Coturnix japonica: one gene and its partner. The protein of the gene in region 1 interacts with the protein of each later gene in a biochemical or structural test. Links are inferred from orthologs where the notes say so. Each region holds a gene or a part of one and is shown on either strand. Other genes may lie near its edges.

Evidence for each region. The genes of interacting proteins can lie anywhere in the genome.
Region 2: the proteins of NUP155 (region 1) and GLE1 form a complex in vitro, tested with the Homo sapiens proteins (2 studies listed by BioGRID). The link is inferred for Coturnix japonica from reciprocal best matches to the Homo sapiens genes NUP155 and GLE1.

The regions. Positions count from the first base shown.
Region 1 is NC_029547.1:10,554,134-10,563,967, forward strand, and holds the start of NUP155 (nuclear pore complex protein Nup155), read right to left. Parts: upstream 5,885-9,834; coding exon 5,749-5,884; intron 4,281-5,748; coding exon 4,143-4,280; intron 3,806-4,142; coding exon 3,709-3,805; intron 2,665-3,708; coding exon 2,594-2,664; intron 1,676-2,593; coding exon 1,583-1,675; intron 765-1,582; coding exon 598-764; intron 199-597; coding exon 93-198; intron 1-92. Other genes in the region: WDR70 (WD repeat-containing protein 70), read left to right, coding at 7,898-7,922, 8,011-8,073, 8,259-8,342.
Region 2 is NC_029532.1:3,852,809-3,862,782, forward strand, and holds the start of GLE1 (nucleoporin GLE1), read left to right. Parts: upstream 1-4,122; 5' UTR 4,123-4,212; coding exon 4,213-4,389; intron 4,390-4,469; coding exon 4,470-4,685; intron 4,686-4,949; coding exon 4,950-5,075; intron 5,076-5,217; coding exon 5,218-5,366; intron 5,367-5,524; coding exon 5,525-5,585; intron 5,586-5,782; coding exon 5,783-6,037; intron 6,038-6,213; coding exon 6,214-6,442; intron 6,443-6,590; coding exon 6,591-6,703; intron 6,704-6,921; coding exon 6,922-6,991; intron 6,992-7,313; coding exon 7,314-7,456; intron 7,457-7,560; coding exon 7,561-7,751; intron 7,752-8,212; coding exon 8,213-8,342; intron 8,343-8,527; coding exon 8,528-8,632; intron 8,633-8,762; coding exon 8,763-8,845; intron 8,846-9,009; coding exon 9,010-9,073; intron 9,074-9,713; coding exon 9,714-9,782; 3' UTR 9,783-9,974. Other genes in the region: ODF2 (outer dense fiber protein 2), read left to right, coding at 149-307, 1,238-1,338, 1,857-2,019, 2,334-2,459, 2,702-2,875. UniProt on the Homo sapiens protein: Required for the export of mRNAs containing poly(A) tails from the nucleus into the cytoplasm. May be involved in the terminal step of the mRNA transport through the nuclear pore complex (NPC).

The DNA of each region.
Region 1 (9,834 bases):
GAATAGAAATCTAGAATAAAATTAAGCTAAAGAAGGATAATCATTTCGAATTTATATTATCTACCATGGAAATCTTTAGCATCAGTACCTACCATCTTCTGAGAATGTGAACTGTAGCAGTGAAGGAATAAGGAAAGACAATGTGCTCTTTGAATGATTGATTTTCCTACATCGCTGGCTAAACCAGCCTGCCTCAGCCTGCAATTTAAAAAAGACAGTGTTGAAAGAAAATGTAGAATGAAAGAAAAAAGAAACTAAAAGCTATACTAAGAAGAAAAGGCAGTAACATTGCAAGTGTGAAAACAAGTAAAAATCCAAATACATGCCATTAATTTCAGTATGTATTACTTAATTGAAAGCACTAAGAGATTACAAAAACAATTTTGTGTGAAAAGGATGCAGGTTATCATTATCTGAACTTTTTTTTTTCAGGCTGACCAAAGCTGTATTGCTATTTTTCATGTTAGACCTCTGAGCTGCTGGGCAAATAAACCACACAACACAACTATAAAAGAAAAAAGGTGGTAGATTTAACATGTTTTAGAACTCTTATTAGAGTCTCTTCCACATAACCATTAAAAAATAAAAGATAATCACCTGGTAAGCTACTTCATACAAGCAGCCATCCTTTCCAGCCAAAAAGATACGTCCATTATCAGTGGATGTTATTGCAGAAATGTAAGTGTTGTCAGTAGGGAGTGAATAGAGAGGGTCTGGTAGAAACTGCATTCCACCAGACAAACTGTCATTGAGTGATCCAGTACCTTAAATAAACAAGAACTCCTTAGATTTTAGTTTTTAAGTTCTATGAACATTATAGATTTTATAAACATCAGGCCTGTAATAAGAAGCATTTCAGTAAACATGAAAAATTACAGGAAATTTCATAATTACTAAAAAAAAAAATCCATAATAGCTATTATTCAAGATGAACCACAGAGTAATGAATCTTGTTTCTAAAACTAAATGAACTCACTGTACACACTTCTAAGAAAGGAAATATCATTATCTTCTCTAAATCCCAACAATTCTGAATCAAATTTCTGCATAACCCTTTCACTGGAAGAAAGTAAAAATAAAGGGAACAAAGGATTCTCTAGTTTTCTCAAAATCTATTTTTTTTTTGTTTGTTTTGTTTTGTTTTCCCTATTAATATACATAGCATAAAAAATGGTATCAGATTTTTTTCTGTTTTTCTTTTTTTTCTGTTGTTTGAAACAAATGACAACTAGATTAATAAACTGCATTCATCGCCATTTTATCTTGACTCATGACAATCTCTTCTTCCCCTCATAAGGTTTAATAACAGGAAAATCTGTTTCAAATGTTTATTTCACTTTAAACAAGTGAACACTACAATTCTCTGGTCCTATGTCAGTTTTGGATCCAGAAGGTACTCATCCTATAAAAATGAAATTACTGTACCATGTCTCTAACATGATTTAAAATTAGCAGATGTGTGGTCTTGTTTTTATTTTTATTTGTTAGTAATAACATAACTAGTAGATACTTATATAACTGTTAATGCACAACCATTTCTGTAATTCACATAGGTGGAGAAATATAAGAAAGAGACACCTACCTGTTTGTGTATTTGCACAGCTGAGCCCTAAGATCACGATATCCACAGGGGTTGCCAGAACAAGTAAGTGTCGTACATGAGGTTGAAATATACCTAAAGAAGGAAAGAATATCAAATTTTACTTTGCAGTCAAGCTCTCAAGACTCACAATGATTGTATCCACCATATTAATGAGATCAATGCAACAAATGCTTAGAGGTAACAGCCATTTTTGAGGAACTGGGGATGTTTAGTCTGGGGAAAAGGAGGCAGAAGGGAGACCTCACAGCTCTCTTTAAACACCTGAAAGATGCTTACAGTCAGAGCAGTGTTGGTCTCTTCTCAATGGTGACAGGACAAGGGGAAATGGCCTCAATCTGCACAAAGGTAAGCTAAGGTTGGATATCAGGAAACACTTCTTTACAGAAATGGATGTTAAGCACTGGAATAGGCTCCCCAGGGAGGTGGCTGAATCACTGTCCCTGGATGTGTTTAAGAACAGTTTGGATGTGGTGCCCAGGGACATGATTTAGCAAAGGGCTGTTAGAGTTAGGGTAGTACAGTTAGATTGTGGTCTAGAAAATTCTAGAGCTACGAAGGAGTAATAGTTAGCAGCTCAGCTTCTGCTTCATGAAATACAAGAACTCAAAAACATTGTTTTCTCAAAACACTTTACTTGTTAATTAATTAGGATTCTTTTATAAAGTTACTTCAGTATCTACTTAAATGTTATATCATGTTCAGGTGTTGAAAGAACTGCAAGCACTAGAAATCAGAATCTCTAGGAAGTTATTGTGGCAATGTATTAACAAATTAACAAATGCGAGTACAACATGAGATTTCTTTCAAGCTTATCATTGTGACTTAAACAATACTTTTCACTTGCAATTTATTACATCATGTATCTAAAGACAAAACAATTTATATTGCATATATACATGTAAAACAAAGGTTTTTATGGAAGTACATACAAAAACCACACATAGGAGATTAGTTACTATGTAAGCCTAATCACTGCCATATACTTCTTACCTGCCTTTGGCTTTACAAGACCCACTGCAAGTATAGTTTCACTAAGGCCATCAAAGTAAGCCAGATCTCCGCTGTTAACAAAACAAGAAAACACGCAAGTGCATAAATTGCGTAACATATCACATAGTAGCACAGTAAACAATATCAGATACCCATATTTTAGAGTTCTTAATACTTCTTACAACACTTTGAATATACACCGTAATGTTTGGAAGGTATCTACATTTTTTGCTTTGGGTGAAAACAGATCCAGCAGAATGAAATGACACATCTCCCTAAAGGTACATTTCAAACCTGAAACCAAACTGCACTATTTTATGGTTTCGGATTTAGTTAATTTACACAGTCCACTGAATTACATTAACTAGCATCTGTAATGACAATTAACATCCAGAGGAAGGAACATATATAGCATCTTTTTCGTACAAAAAAAATCTAACAAAAACAAGTCCCAACCTCCTCCCTAGCAACTTAACACCATAAAGAATTGTATTATCTGGTAAATAGTTAATTAATGTGCTTTATACTTTATTATACAATGTATATGTAAGGGGAGGAGTGATGTGAGGAGAAAACAAAACTCAACAAATTCTATAAATAAATTCCTCTTAATATTCATACACATATAAAACCCACAAGAATACAAGCAAAAAAAGAATCTGACCAATCTGGATATTAAAAACTGCTATTTGAAATGGTTATTACATAGAATATATAGTTAAAACACTATCATAAATAACCACTGACCACTGTACTTACCCAATCTACTTAGAACAGTCAGGCAATTAATACGCTTTTTCTATGCTTTTACTTTCTTTAGCATGATCAAAGCCTAGCATATTAAAATAGGAATTATAGGATATCATTTAATGCTGAACTCTAAGAAAAAGCACTTTTAGTTCTTTCATCTCTAGATGATTTGTCAGCATTACTGCTAACTCCCCAAACTCCTCCAACACGTATTACTTAAAAGTTTTAGTGAAAACTAATAGAAATCAAGGTAACTTTGACAGAACAGCACACCTCTACACTGCAAGTAAACAATCTCCAACTGTTACAAATGCTTAGTTAAGACATAATATCAACAATATATAATCAAGAATGTGTTAACGTACCCATCTTCATAGTTCCACATAAAAATATCACTGTCAATTGTTAGCCAAGCTCTGCTGATTTCTGGAAATACTCCCATCATACAATTGCATTGCATATCTGAAGTATTACTAATGTAAGGACTAAATGTGTTTAGACCAACAAGGACAATCCCCTTTGGAATATTACAAAAAACAAAAACTGCTCTATATAAAGCAATAAACAAGCTATGTACCATAAATATGAAGTTTCTCATACGGGAACTAATTCCACCAGCACCTCTACACAAATTGACCGTATTACCACTTGGAGCCTTGAAATGTGAATATAACCAATATCAAAGTTCATTAATAGGAGTCTGACAGAAGTATTAAAGAAAAAATGATTATAAAAATGTAGAAGTCCAATACCAGTACTATTACACACAAAACCCAACACATTATTTTTCATAGGATACGTCCAAATTGCTCCACCAGCTCTGGGGGCAGCGGGACTCTGCGAACCGAGCTGATTTCTGGAAGATTAGGTATTGACAGCAAGCCTGGACCTTGCAAAGGATAATCCATATCTGTCATGCCAGAAACAGTAGGGCTACCTGCAATTAAGAACAACAAAAATAAGCTTTCCTTTAAAGAAGTGGGTGTTTTCACACATAAAACAATTCTCTATTTTCCCCTGATTTTTTTTTTTTTTTTTCCTTAATCAGTAAAAATAAATCTGTAAACAGATTTACAAGCTAACTCCTAGGATAATTCATCTGTCCCCCAGACTACTTTTAATGCTGCCTTCTCCATGATCCTCTCTTACCCTTTTTTCATCATATGACCTGGCAATAAATGTCATGTGAACAACCCAGGAGCATCTTCATTCACCTAGAAAAAGTGTATTCTTAGCTCTTAGCTTAAATTTAAACTTTCCAAGCCTCTGTATTATCTTACCTAACGCAACTCTCTGATGAGATAGGCAGCTACACTTTGTCTACACACTCATTACGGTATCAAGAAATAGATACTCTTGTCTGAACGCATTCACTGAATGCACATTGATCAGATCACCTGCACTTTTACAGTGCTTTCTTACTGCTCACTCAGACAGGTGGGTGGCTGTACACAGTAGCTGATGCTGCTGTGATGTTTCAAAAAGGACAAAACAAGTGTATGAGAAGAGTTGTACCTTAAATCTTAACTAGGGAAGGCTGTTCTGAAAGTAATGCTTCCTAATTTGTTGGTCCAGGACATCAGAAGCAAATGTTGGAGTATGGCAGTAGACAATGAACCTCCCTGCCAATATTGCACTATATTTTCTTGCCCTCTGACAGATGGCATCAGAGGGGGAGTCTGACAAAACGGCATCTGATGTGAAAGTGCATAGGAAGCAAAGGTACGTTACTGAATTTCTCCGTATCTAAAAATGGCACCCACTGACATCCATCACTGTTTATTGAATGCTTACAGTGACCGAACAGTGGGTGTGAGCACAAGAAAATGTTTCAGCAGCAGCAGCAGTGGGTCAGCTCTGCTAAAGCAGACTGTGGCATGCAGGTTCATTTCCACTACAGGTGAAAATGTGTAGCCAATGATGGCAACTATGTTGACAAATAGTGTTTTGTAGCTAGGAATTTGCCCTTTCAGTGTCACTTCGCTCTTTGTATCCCTTGCAGTTTCCTTTTATCAAAAAGGACGCATTACTTTCAGAACAACCAAACTACACGTGACATGTGGCTGCCGAGAAATCAGTCATTCAAAGCAGCCTGCGGGAGAAAATGAGCGGAAAACCAAACTCCCGAATCCCTTCCAGTGGGAGACAGGACTGAGGAGTAGTACACGCCCGTTCTTCCCCCTCTGCTGCCTCTACTACAGCCCCGGTGTGCCGCGAGGCCCGGCCGCCACAGATCCAGCCCCGCTGCGGCCGGGACTCTAAGAAGCCATGTGGGCCCGGGAAGGACGGCGGAGCCTGGACTCCAGACACCTCACGAGGCTGCGCTTCGAAAGGCGGCGGGGCGACAGGAGGGGAAGCGGGAGCGGGGCGGCCGAGGCGACGCAGGATTACGGGGAGGTGCTCACCGGGCGCGGGCACGGCCAGCAGCTCCGAGAGGTCCGGGTAGCAGCGATCGTCTTGGATCTGCCGGTCGATGACGCGGCCCGCGATCTCCAGCGCCTCATGCCCGGCGGGCACCGTGGGGCTCATGGCAGCAGGCATGGCGGCGGGGCTGCACAGCGGCAGCGGGCTGAGGGCCGGCACCACCCCGCACACACACCGACCGCGCGAGCCCGCCGACCCGCACCCGCCAAATCCCGGCAGGCCTCACGACGTGACGTAGTTCCTTGTTCCGTCGGCAGAGATGGAGAGTGGCGGTTGTGCGGCGGAAGAGGCGGGCTGATGTTCTGCTGTTCTCTCCCTGCATTGTCCGCTTCCGCTGCTCCGTCTGCGGCGCCGCGTACCGGGCGGGGCGTGTCGGAGGGGGAATCAGTGTCGTCAGCGCTGTGCTTGTTGTTGCTGGTTCCTGTGTGCAGTTCTGACCCATGCTACTTGTGAGACAAAATGTGGCAAGAAATAAAAGTATTCTGTTACATCCCTAATGCGAAATTATTGGGGGAAACAGGACTCTCAACCCGCTCTAGTTGAAATGGGAAGTTCTGTTAGTATTGTGTGTGAGCAGAAGGGCTGGAGCCTGGCTGCAGCTCTCCTAGACCCCGTTAAGGGCTGAGTGCCACCAAGGAAGGATCTCTCTCTGGAAATTGCTCCTTGTGAGTCTCTTTTGTGAGCGCTTTTATGAACAGTGAAGCAGGAAACATGCTCTGCTGGAATTTAGAATAAAGGGGGGCTAAAAGGAGGATAGTTAAAGGTAGCTTATAGAAACAAGTAAAGGAAACAAGGGGCCTGGGAGAGCAGGAAGGATGCAGATAAGGAGTGAGAGCTCACGGAAGACATCAGGCAAGGAGGAGAATAGATATTGTAAATACCAGAAGAGGAGTTGCATCCCCCTGATAAGAACAAGAGGGGGTCTGCATGCTAAACAACTATTGAATATGTATCAGAATTCTGAGAAATCATTGACTATGTATTAGATGTACCTATATCTGTGTCACAATTTTACAAGTCAGTGTGCAAGTTTGGTGGAGCTATCCCCCTTGCACCCGGCGCTGGAATAAACATACCTGCTTTATAACCTATCTCTGTGTTATAGAGTTTGATTCCGCAAGTCATTTAGTTTAATTCTGATTATCTTTTCCAATGTGATAATTGTCCCAGTTTAACTTCTCCGTGTTCTATACAAAATCTGTATGCTTATTCATCTTAAAGAAACATACAACTATTGGTGTTAAACAGAAGGCTATGAAGATGGGTCTGTTGCCCATCACCTTAAACCTGAGTCGTTTTATGCAGTGCTTTATTGAGGCCCCGGTAGCCTGAGGACTAGCGTCCAAAGTCAGAGCCCCAAACTATAAAGAAATCACAAGGTTTATATACATTTTCTTCAGGATTGCTTCGTCCTCTTTTGTTATGTTTCCTTGGTTACAATTAGGTAAGACTATCCCACAAAGACCTAAGGAAATGTGCTGTACATTCTTCTCCTCCTTCAATCTGTGACGTTACTGGATGTTCCCGTTTCTGTTTTCTATTCATTTTCTCTAAAACGCTTAACCGCTCTACCATCACACCATAAATCTAAACCTAATTTTTAACATACATTGTGCTTTGTTCCTAAGCAAGATTTATTACTTAGATCCGTGCTCGGGTTCATAAGAAACACAACTTGCATTCCTAGATACGTGAGAAACACAGACTAGGCCTAACTACGAGCCTTAGCATGACTACTGCTACTATTATTTAAAGCACACTGTAACAGGTCCAGAAGGCAAAATGTGTGAGGAGCAACTGAGGGCCCTGGGAGTGCTCAGCACAGAGCAGAGGAGCTGCAGCTCCTCACAGGGAGCGGAGGGCAGCGCTGAGCTCTGTGACAGCGACAGGGCCCGAGGGAACGGCATGGAGCTGTGCGGAGGTTTGGGAAAGGCTCTGAGCTGCTGGTGTCCTCAGCTTCCAGGCCCGTTCCGAAAAGCCTCGTGGCCGGCAGAGGGGCGGGGCCCTGCTGGCCCCGGCAGCGCCACGTTCAGGACACTCCGTGCCTCCACGAGGCGGTGCCGCTGTCCGTGTCCCGCTCCGCCCCGCCGCTTCCTGCCGCGGCTGTTGTGGTTCCGGGCCGGCCGCAGCATGGAGTCGCCGGCTGCTGAAGGCGGTGAGTGGCGGGCCAGGCTGAGCCGGATTCAGCCTTGTCACCCCTCGCTGACCGCCGTTATTTTCTCCCTCTCCCCTCTTCTTTGCAGACGCTGAGATGCTGGCGGGACCCGACCCGGAGCTGGCGGCCACCATGGGCTTCTCGGGTTTCGGTGCGTTTCAGTGCCGGGCGGGGGGCGACTGAAGGGAGCGGGGAGCGATGCTGAGGCCGGCGGCCCTCGGCTATGGGGCTCGGGAGGGGAGCTGCGGGACCGGGCGACTCACGCTGCTCGGAGGGCCCACAGCGGCTCTCAGCGGGGCGAGCCGTGCTGAGTTGCCCCCTTGTGTGTGTTTTTAGGGAAGAAGGCTCGGACTTTCGATCTTGAAGCCATGTTTGAACAGACCAGGAGAACTGCCGTGGAAAGGAGCAGGAAGGTCTTGGGTAAGAAACGAGTGAGCAGTTAACTAGTGTGTTTTACAACGTGTTTTGTTCTTCTCTATTGGAGTGATGTGCCAGTGACTCAGGTTGGCTATTTAGTGAACGAAGTAGTGCAGTTGTGCTGCAGGAAAGCAATCTTGAACACTGTGAGGGTGGATAGAAGGGAGGACTATCCTTTTATATATGTTGTGAGAGTGTGCAAGGGATCAGTGTCTGCAGGATTCCTGCTGTGAGGCATTACACGTCAATCCAGGAAGAAAGCTGAAATTAAATATAAAGGTCTTCATAGGATCACAGAATTGTTTGAATTGGAAAAGATCTTTAAAGGTCAAACAGTCCAGGCTCCCCCCCCCCCCAGTGACAGAACAGTGACATCTACAACTAGATCAGGGTGTCAGATCCTGGTGCAGCCTGGTCTTGAATATCACCAGGGATGTGGCATGTACCACCTCTCTGGGCAGCCTGTTTTTGTGCCTCACTGCCTTTACTATAGAACAAAACAAAACAAAAAACAAACCCTTTTCATTATGCCTGATGTAAATCTACCTTCTTTTAGCTTGAAATCAATTCCATGTGTCCTATCACAGCACACCCTGCTAAAAGAGTCTGTTAACTTAGATTATTGCTTTTATTTTGAAAGGGATCTTGATTCAGAGAGTTTTAATTTAGATAGACAGAATAAAAGGGAAATGTGTTCTGTGACACACACAGTGAGTTACACAGCATCTCACAATTCTTTCTGTTTCTTACTGTGCTGGCAGTGGGAGGCCTGAGAGAAGAAGGTGATGAGAGCTGTATGTTTTCCTTTTCATATCCAAACAAGCACTATGCCAAAGATGGAAGACTCTAATATTCTAGATTTCTTTTTGATGTTCCAAGCTCCTGTGCTTTCTGCTTCCACTTAGTATGTGCTGAAAATGGAGCGTGTTTTTGTTGTTATTCTGTTTTTGTTTTGGTCTGATTTCTTTTTCTGTGTGTTACTGATACCGTTACGCAGATTATTTCTGAGAAAAAATTGTATTTTCTCTCTGAGGTGTTTGAAGTATATAGTAGTGTGGAAGCCCCTCATCAAGAAAATGCAATTCTGTTAGAAGAATGAGATCAGTGGATTGCAGTTCTTTATTGCTTGATTCTATGTGGAATCATACAGCTTCAACTCTGTGTGTGCTTGTTGACATTATACAATTTAAGACACTGTGAAATTCAAATATACAAGGGACCCCAGGATTTAATTTGAATTTTTTTTTTGTACTAAATCAAAATACAGTAATATTTATTTTATGTTGAAAATCGTTTAGATTCAATTTTTGTTCATATCAAACTATCATCTCTTTTGGGAGACCATCTCCCACTTGAAGATTAGAAGAAAAATTTAATATAGAGGAGAAATTTAATAAACTCAAGGGAGTGTAATGTTTTTAAGTCAAGACATTCTGAACTACACCTGGACATCTTTTCTCTGAAAAGAATCTTAAGGAACCCTAAGAAAGATTTC
Region 2 (9,974 bases), on another chromosome or scaffold:
GGTAGAAGACCTTAAATACACGTTGACCTCCAATACTTGACAAATATCCACAATGTCACCATAGTGCAAATGAAGGAAGCTTTCAGAGGAGTGCTGTCTAGACTAAAATGGTTCTAACCATTTGAAAATTGCTTATTGCTTTCATTAGGCTCGCCAGCAGTTCCAGAGCCAGCTTTCTGAGTTGGAAAAGCTGCCTGAGATCCTGAAGATCACAGAGACACAGTTGGCAGAATGTCAGGACCAGCTTCAGAATTATGAGAAGAAGAACATGGACCTGTCTGTCATGATCGCGGATCTTCGTCAGCGGGTAAGGGACTGGCAGAAACCTCTTACAGCGCAGAATCCCTCACCTCCTACAGAGACCTCTCACCCTGAGACCAAGATGAATCGCTGACCGCAGGAAGGTTGGAGCCGCTCCGTCTCTGTTCTTGTCTCTTGTTGAAAAGATTAAACGTGCACTGCAAAATAAAGGTGTGTGCCATGTCTTTGTGTGAGAAGCTAGCAGCGTAGCTACCCGCATTCCTTACTGCTTGGAAGGTTTTGAATCCCATGGTGCAAAACCATCATGGGACCTGAACAGCAGCATGACAACGCTTGCAGATGTCACCGCTCCCTTCTGTTACTTCCATCACCTTGCTGGCTTTCCCTCCTCTGGTCTTTTGCTTGTTTTTTCACCCTCGTCTCAGGTTGTTTTCCCAGTCCCTGTTTTATGTTCCCAGGAGCACTGTGTAGGTGTTCCAGGACAGCTGTAGACAGGCAGGACATCTACAGTCGTGCCTCAGGATGCAGCAAATAATCTTATAGTCTTGACAGCTTTACTCTCCTTGGCTTGGAGTGGTAAACCTTCCTCGTGTTTAAGTCTGTGGTGTCTCTGTGGCCTCCTGTCAGGTATGTGGCTGTTCTTAATGCGTGTGCTTTGCTGTACTTAGAGGTGTCTGCTCTGCATGCAAGCTTTACCAACCTGGCTTTCCCTTTTGTAGTAGTGAAGAACTTTCTCATACCCAATATGAGAAATATTATAATACCTATCATATTTAAGCGTTAGCTGGAAGCTCCAATGAAATGATGTTTTGTGTGCTCAGAGCTTTGCCTTCTATCCAGTGTTTCTTTTCTAGGACTCTCCAGAAATATGAACTGAGCATTTCCTTCCTGGAGAGCAGCGTGTGTTTTATTGAGGGGGTTGGTCGTGTGTGTGCAGTGACTGTTCTGTAAAGTAACTAATGGCTGTGATTTTTAGATTGAGCTCCAGGGGGACAAAATGGAGATAACAAGAGAGAGGTATCTGTCTGCCCAGGAGGAGAAAAAGCAGCTCACCTTGAAGGTGGAGGAGCTAGAAAGGTTAGAAACATGAGGCTCTCTTGTTCCGTTAACTTTTCCTTTCTGTACTCTGTGTTTTTCTTTTCACAGAATTGAAACATCTCCAGTCTTGTTCGAGTGCCCCACAGGTCTCCAGGTTCTGCACATTTACTCGTCTCACAGGGATCTCTAATCAGTAACTGTCTACTAGAGAGGGATTTGTAGGTTCTTGCAGCAAACCTGATGAATGTTGTTAGAAAGGACTGTGCCTGCCCAGCAGATAACAGCTGTGGTACCAGCCCGGCTGGACAGTTTTGATGTTACTGAATATTGGAGGTTTTTATCCATGTTTATCAGTTCTTCTTAGTGACAACATCTGGAGAAAGGTGTGTGTGTGAATCCTCAGTGTCCCTCAGTCTTTGGAGTTCTGATTAGAGAAATGAAGAAGTATTTAATAGGGCACAGAGTCACCTCCCAGACCAGACAAGACCTGACCAAAAGGTAGTCTGAAATGCTCTCCATTTAAAATGAATAGGTTTTCTTGCCTTGTCTTAACCTAGAAAACTAGAAACAACAAGCGCCCAGAACATGGAGTTCCTGCAGGTCATAGCAAAGCGTGAGGAGTCCATCCATCAGTGCCAGCTGCGGTTAGAAGAGAAGACCCGGGAGTGCAGCTCTGTGGCTCGTCAGCTGGAAATGGCCATTGAAGATGCCAAACGACAGGTAAGGGGTTCTTGTTTGTTATGTCCCTGCAACTACCCAGGCTGTAAAACTGAAATGTTCCCCAGCCTATGACCCAACTATTGAAATAATCACATTTGATGGAATGCAAAAGATGTTTTGGTACCGTTTGATAGTTCTCAAACCTTTGAGAAATGGAACTCCGTGCTATTGTTTGCAACAGAAGTAAGAAAAGCCCTGGGCTGACCTGCTGCTTATGTCCAAGTAAACGTGCAGGGGATTTCGGGCAGTAAGGCAGGGCAGAATCATTTTCCACAGACACCTCTCCTACAAGGTTGTTTCTCTGTTACGTGCAGGTCGAACAAACTCGAGAACGAGCAACATCCAGAGAGAGGGCAGCCCAGTCCAAGGTGCTGGATTTGGAGACACAGCTGAGTAGGACAAAGACAGAGCTGAGCCAGCTGCGGCGGAACAAAGACGATGTGAGTGATCTGTGAGGAGTGCTGGCTGTGCTGGCAGCAGTTGTCTCTTGTTATTCACTGTCCGGTTGCTGAATGATGTTGGGAACGAGCACAACAAACGATAAAGGCTACAGCACCACCCATGGCAACGCCATCTACTGCTGTGCTCATCTTTGCTGCCTGCAGGGATTTCTTGGAACAACTTAAGGAGTGACAGGGTGAGCTGTGCTGTCCTTCATCCTGCGCTCTGTGCTTTGTTACAGGCAGAGCGCCGCTACGAGAGCCGCCTGCAGGACCTGAAGGACCGGCTGGAGCAGTCGGAGAGCACAAACCGCAGCATGCAGAACTACGTCCAGTTCCTCAAATCTTCCTATGCCAACGTGTTTGCTGACAGTGCCTTGCTGGGCTCTCCCAGCCGCTCTCGTTCTTCTCCATGAGGTCAGCGCTTGCTCTGCACCTCTGCTTTGAAGCACAAAATGAGCACTGTGTCAAAGCCATGCGTAGTGTAGAAGATGGGCTGAGAATGGAGAAATTTCAGGGTCACTGAAGGGAGGAGGTGATGGGATGGTGACGGCATGCAGTCTGAGCATGCAGAGCATTAGCAGCGCTGGTCTGGTGATGGATGGTGATGGAGGTTGGTGTCATTCTGTAAGCTGTGCCCAAAACCAGATGGTTTTGCATACAGTGGTAAAGGCCCTTTTCATCCTCTGAGCTCTGGCTGGTTTCAGCCCTTTCAGCCCAGCAGTGCTTTTAGTTGTGTTCATGTTTGTCAGAGCTGTTTTCCCACACTTCATTTTTTTCCTTCCCCCTGTTCTGTGTCCTGGGGTTGATCATGTTCTATTTCTGCTTCTTGTTATTACATGGATGGGATGGTGGAAGCCCACCCACCCCTCAGGGGGGCGAGAAGCTGAAAATAGGGGCCATGCTGGGGCTTTATGCTTACAAGAGGTTCTTCTGAAGCACTGCAGTGTTTGCAAACAGTTTTATAGCAGAAATGATGATTTATGTTTGTTTGTTACATTGACTCGTGTTGTACTCAGTGATCTTTGCTTTATTTAGTGTGTTCTCAATTTGCTTTACCCCACACCCCAACCCTGACCCTCCTGAGCCCAAACAGCCCCAGGACTGTGCCCAGACCAGCTGTATTCAAAGGGCAGGTTGCAGCTCAACCTCAGCCGGGTCTCACTGTGTGAATTCAGTGTGTGCATGAAGCGCTGATCAGCTGGCAGCCCATTGCACTGATCAGCTGGCAGCCCATTGCACTGATCAGCTGCTGCTCAGTGCCTCCATCAAACCAACCTGTGATGCTCTGTGCTCTGTGCCCTGTTCTGCTCCTCCCTGCGGCTGGTTCCTGGTGGGGATTAAAGCCAACGTTGCTTTTGTTTTTAACCCTACTCTATCCTACGGCTGTGCACGGGGGGGTGTTGTTTGTCATAAAGCTTTTCTGAGATAATCGTTATTTGAGAACGCGGTTATTTGGTGTGTCACTTTTTAAAAGGAAATCCTAAAGGTGCTATGGAGAAAACGATATAATAAATTGTGATTGATGATATGGGAGTGTTTGTTATCAGTGCGCTGCGCACAAAGGCATCTGGGCTTTGTTTGGAGGGGCTGGAGGAGCAGTGCACGCACACAGCCTACGAACCGCCCGCCCCGCAACGCCCGCAGCGGCTGTTGGGTGCAAAGCGCGAGGAGCAGCGGCACAACCGACCCGGTAACGGACCCGCTGCTCCTCCCTGCCGGGCTCACGGCTCCTCCCGGCCGCCAGGGGGCGATGGCGGCGCGGCTGGGGAAGCGGAAGTCGCTGTGCGCCCAGCGGGATGACGGCGCGGCCTATGAAGGCTCCGGGTCGGCCATGCAGGGCAGGGATCTGCGATGGGAGACGCTGGAAGCGCTGCGAGCGTCCAGCAAAGGGCGGCTCAAATACTGCCGGCACTCGGACAGGGACGAGGTGAGGAGCCCGGTGGGCCGCGATGGCGGAGCCCGTCCCGGCCGTGCGTTACCGTTACCTTGCCGATCCGTTCTCCGCAGGACATCTTGGAGGGATGCATCTCCCCTCTGATGCTGACCTCGTACGCCGGGTGGGTCCTGGACAAGATGGCCGGTTCGGCGGCCCAGACAGCGGCACCGCCCGGTTCTGCACCCAAAGGTGCCGCTCCGCGATCAGATCCGGCGGCTGAGAAGAGCTCGGAGTCCGGCTGCGAGGAGGGGCAGGGATCCGCAGCTGCAGCGAGGAGCCAAACCAAGGTAACTCTAATTACTGAGAGCTGCTGATACGTTTTGTGTTGTGCTCCATTAACGTGCGGGGCAAAGGCTGCTCTGCTCCAGCTCTATGTATCATAACCGGGGTGATAAAGTGGGTACAAAGAGCATCGTTCCCTTTGATGGAAAGGAGGGAGGCTGGCAGGGAAGCTGAGCTGTGGGGCTGTGAGGTTGGTGAAGCCCTGATGAATGTTGGTAGCTCTGTGTTGGAGGGGCAGTCACTGATCCCACCTTGTGCCGGCTCCGCAGGGACACAACGATCCCGCTGTGCTGGAGGTGAATGTCGAAGTCCTTCCCATCCCTCCTGTATCTAAAATGGCGAAAGTTGAAGGCTGCATTCAGATGTATGAGGAGATATACAGGATGAAGGGAAGGGTAAGTAGAAATAAAAGCATGACTGAGCCTAAACCACTGTGTGGGATATTGGTGTAGGACAGCGTCACACAGATCACATCGCTGGCTTTATGTGTGTTTCCTTGGTGTGAATTGGGCTGCTCCATGGAGGTGCATCCTGCAGGAGAGGCTGCGGCAGCGGCAGGAGCAGCAGGAGCAGATGGTGAGAGCAGCGTACGACATGGCGAGGGAACAGCTGAAACGCTTCGATGAGATGAAGGAGCTGAAGCGGCGTCAGGAGATCCAGGAACTGCGGGAAGTGATGGAGAAGAGGTGAGAGTGACTCTGGTATCCTTGGGATGTTATAATGTTTAATCAAAGGGGGGTTAATACTTGACAACGCTTGTATTGTACTGTGTGGGGGTGTATATGCGTGTTTGTGTTTCCTTGCTCGTGTCTTTAATGGAATGCTTTTGCTGTGCCTGTTTTAGTTTGAAGGAAACTCAGGGACAGCAAGAGAAGCTGAAAGAAGAGCATCGGCACAGAGCAAAGGTGTGTGATAGTTCTGTGTTATCAGACAGGCAGCACAGTTTGTCAGTCATTGCTATTCCAGGCTCTGTAGTACTTCTATGGGGGGAATTCAGACCATAACTGGTGTAAAATCATGAGATTTTGTGCATCTTCCTTTCCCCGAGGCAGGAAGGTCCCCAAAGCTGCCCTTACTGAACTTTGCCTCTTCCTCTCTCCAGATACTGAACCTAAAGCTGCGCGAGGCAGAGCAGCAGAGGCAGCGCCAGGAGGAGCAGGAGCGGCTGCGTAGGGAAGAAGGCCAGGAAAGATTACGTCGCCTTTATTCCATTCAGGAGGAACTGCTGCAGCTGAACCAGCAGATTGATCCCAATTACAAGCACAAGGACCTGCCGAAAATTGACCTTTCTGCATATAGCAATCGAGGCAACCAGATCTGTGGGCTGGTGTCAGAGCTCATCCGAACCACAAGTGAGGTAGAGAGTTGTTCTTCCCTTTGCTTGCCTCTTCTTAAAGCTTCCCACTGTTCTCTTCCAAAGCAGCTTATTCAAACATAGCCCAGCACTTCAAGGCTCTGGGCTCTTTGATATAGCAGTCTACATATAGCAGAACCAACGGCTGATGCTACGTTGCCTTCTCTGTCTCTTGATAGAGAGGTTTCCCTTCCCAGCTGGATGTGGCCAATACCGAACAAGCCCTGAAGGAAATGCGAGGGCTGGTCTCCAACATGCAGCAGGAAATCGCTGCAGCAGTGGAAGAAAAGAAGAGGAGAGATGAGCAGGAAAAGAAACAGAAGCAGGAGGAGTTACTGAAGAAGCAACAGGCAGAAGCTCAGACTCCTGCCCCTGCACAGCCAGCGGGAGGGAAGCAGCAGAAGGACGGTTGGCTGGGTTTTATTTTCTCTCCTCACCCTCCTTTTCTCTTTCTGGTCTATTTTACTGTTTAGCCAGATGCTACTTTGGAATGTTATTCTTGTGACAACACAACTTCTCTAACTTTTCCAATTGTTGCTGTATTTTTTTTACATAGCACTTTCAGTTAAGGCAGGGGAAGACACTATGAAACGGTACCAACAGCTTCAAGATGCTGCGGCCCAGTGTGCTGCTGCTTTCAGTGCAATGAGCAGCTCCAAAGACAGCGAGGTACGAACAATGATGAACACTGACGGGTGGTTATCTTCCTCTCCTGTAGATAAGAGGGAGCTTTCATTAGCACAGTTTCCAACAGCAGCCTCTGCACAGTCTGCTGGTTCACACTGTGGTGTCACTGAAGGCGTTTCAGCCTTGGTCAGCCCTCTTGCTCTGTGAAGGTTTTCAGAGTGCTGGTGGGGTTTTTAATTGTTGTTGTTGTTCTTCTGCAGGTCAGGAAGATAAGAATGGAACTGCAGAAAGCTGTTACCATCCCTGTGAGCCAGATCTCGACCATTGCAGGTCAGGAAAACGCTAAGAACCCAACTGTAATGAATGCCTTTAGCTGCTGATTTTAGTAGGACACCAAGTATCCAGTTTCTATGATTACCCCTATGAGAGAGAGCTGCTGTAGGAAGCTCCCAATTCTTTGGAGCACAGCATTGCTCATGGTTTTCAAGCATGTCAGTTCCTTCAGACACACCTTGTTTCATCAGGGTTCAGTTTCTTTAATCACAGCAGTTGGAGGAGCCTCGTTCTTCAGGGCCCAGATCTGTTGATGGGATCTGATTAAGGCTCTTCTGCTTTTTCCTGACCTATCTGTACATCTCTGCTCTATTTACAGGCTCTCAGCTAAGACAGATATTTGACAAGCTCAATAACTTGCTCTCTGGAAAGCCTGTTCAGAGCGTAGGGGAAACTGTATTGGTGACTCAGCTCCCACAAGGCCTGGATTTTGTTTATTACAAGCTTGCAGAGAAATTTGTGGTGAGGCACTGTTCTCTTTATCGAGCAGATAAATGTAACTGGTGCTTTAGGAAGCTCTTTGGGATGCTGCTGTCCTTCTTTAACTGTTTCTTTCCCCCTTCCAGAAACAAGGAGAAGAAGAGGTTGCTTCTCACCGTGAGTCAGCCTTCCCGATTGCACTGGTGATATCAGGGATCTGGGAAATGCACCCTCGAGTCGGAGAGCTCTTCTTAGCTCACCTGCACAAGGCGTGCCCCTATTCCGTGCCATTCTACCCTGCATACAAGGAGGGGACTTCTATGGAAGAATATCAGAGGTAAATTAATGACTGAAGTTCTTCAGCGTCTGCTCTAGAAGGACAAAGAATACATTCTCCTGAATGAACTCCACTTCTTCCATCTTTGATTACAAGGCACTGTGCCATGTTGGCAGAGGCTCTGAAGGTTTACTCAGAAGTGTGCAGCCCTGGAGGGTGCTGTGTCCTTTGGAAGTATTTTTAGGGATAATGGATGCTCTTTTGCTTCATCTTCCTTGTCCTCCTCAAATAGCAGATAACAGCCACAGCTTGATTTCGGCTGAAATATCCACTGCAGAACCTAAAGATTCTGCACGATATAAACCAGTGGAAAATATGATCCACAATGTAACAATCAGCCTTTGCAATAATTCTTAGTTTTAGAGTATCCCTTATCTCAGCACAGCTGACTTAAAGCTGAGAGCTGCACAGATTCATGTGAAGCACTGAGTTGTACTAATAATGCAATGTCTCCTATTTAGGATGCTGGGGTATCATGTTCAGGATTCTAAGATGGAAGAGGAAGATCATTTTCTTAAGCGGATGTCAGGACTGATTCGTCTGTACGCTGCTCTCATTCAGCTCCGCTGGCCTTATGGGAACAAACAAGGGGTATGGATGTGTAACAGCACAGTCAGAACTTTGCTACACCTTTACTTTTGCAGTGTTTTCATCACAATCAAGTTGTATGTAAGGCTGTTGTAAAATAACTCTATGAAAGAGAATGGAAGTTGAAAGCAATGTCTTTTTATAATAGCGTTTTGCATGTTGTGTAGCATTGTTTTACTGCTTTACAGGCACATCCTCATGGGCTGAACTATGGCTGGTGCTGGCTCGCTCAGATGCTGAACATGGAACCTCTGGTGGTGGTGACAGCCACGCTGCTCTATGATTTCCTGGAGGTCAGTGATGTCGCAGTGTGAGCGCATGTAGCAGCTGATTCTTTCTCATTGATACCAAACAAGGTGATGGAAGGTGTCACGCTGATCTGAGGCCCAGGTCTGCAATGTGATCTTTGTTTCCGAACTGCAGGTGTGTGGCAATGCTCTGATGAAACAATACCACGTTCAGTTCTGGAAGCTGTTGTTGCTGATGCAAGAAGACTACATCCCACGGTACGATGGTTGTGTTCGGATGGGAAATAGTCCCGCTCTTCACCTTTCGAGTGCTTGCTTTTAAGAGACTCTTCCACCTTTTCCCATCTCTGACATTCGCTCTCTATCTGCTTGTAAATCAAACTCAGCTGAGTCGGTTTTGAGACACGCTGTTATTCCTGCAGGATTGAAGCAATTACCAACGTTGGACAGAAGGCCTCTTTAACGCGTTTCAAGCAATTCCTGGAGGTAAAACAGCATATTTCAGTTCTCAAATCGTTTTCTTTCCTTTGCTCTGTTCAATACGTGCATCATTCCAATAATGAAGCTGGTGCTGCCAGCAGCACACTTGATAGTCCAGCCTTGTAACTACGGTGTAACCTGGCTTTTGGTCACTGAATTCTCTTAATGATAATTGTGATGTTGGGCATCTCGCTTCCTTCTTACCTCAGGTGTATTTTTCTCAGTGTTGATGTATTCTGATGTAACGGATATTCAGTGAAGGCTGGTGGCAGTGAGAGGAGGCAGACAGGTTGGGGAGGGTTGTGCTGAGTCATTTCTAACAGCTGAATTTCGTCAGCAGCTCGCTTGCTTTTGCTGTTGCCCTGATTAGCTGAGTGAGGAAGGAGGTGTTTGGAGCTGCTCTTTGTAGCATCTGTGCAGTATTGTGTTTTGCACAGGTTATTTTAGAGGAAGCCTGCAGAACTGTTAAATGCTGCATTTTGTTTTGTGAATGTTGTGTTAAACCGAAGCTATCGTGTTTTAATACACCACAGTTTGCAAACAAACAAACTTCTGTATGCTTCATTAACAGTATAAGGGATGGCAAACTATGAGATCTATTTCTTATTCCTTTCCTCACTTTGTTTCATTGTCTTTTCTCCACTAGGAAAGCCTCCAGAAGAAGGACATCCCGTTACCAAAGGGCTTCCTGCAGCCTTCCTTTTGGAGGTCCTGAATTGCTGCACTCTTCATCCTCCCTGGATATCAATGCTGGCAGAGCTGCTTCTTAAGTGCACGCGTTGGACTGTGATGGACAGGGAGTTCACGTTCCATCCATTGGTTTCAGTTTAATAAGAAGTTTATGTTGGACAGAACAGAGTCTCGTTTGATTTGTTGGAAGTGATGGAAGCTGTTCTTTGTGTTTTTA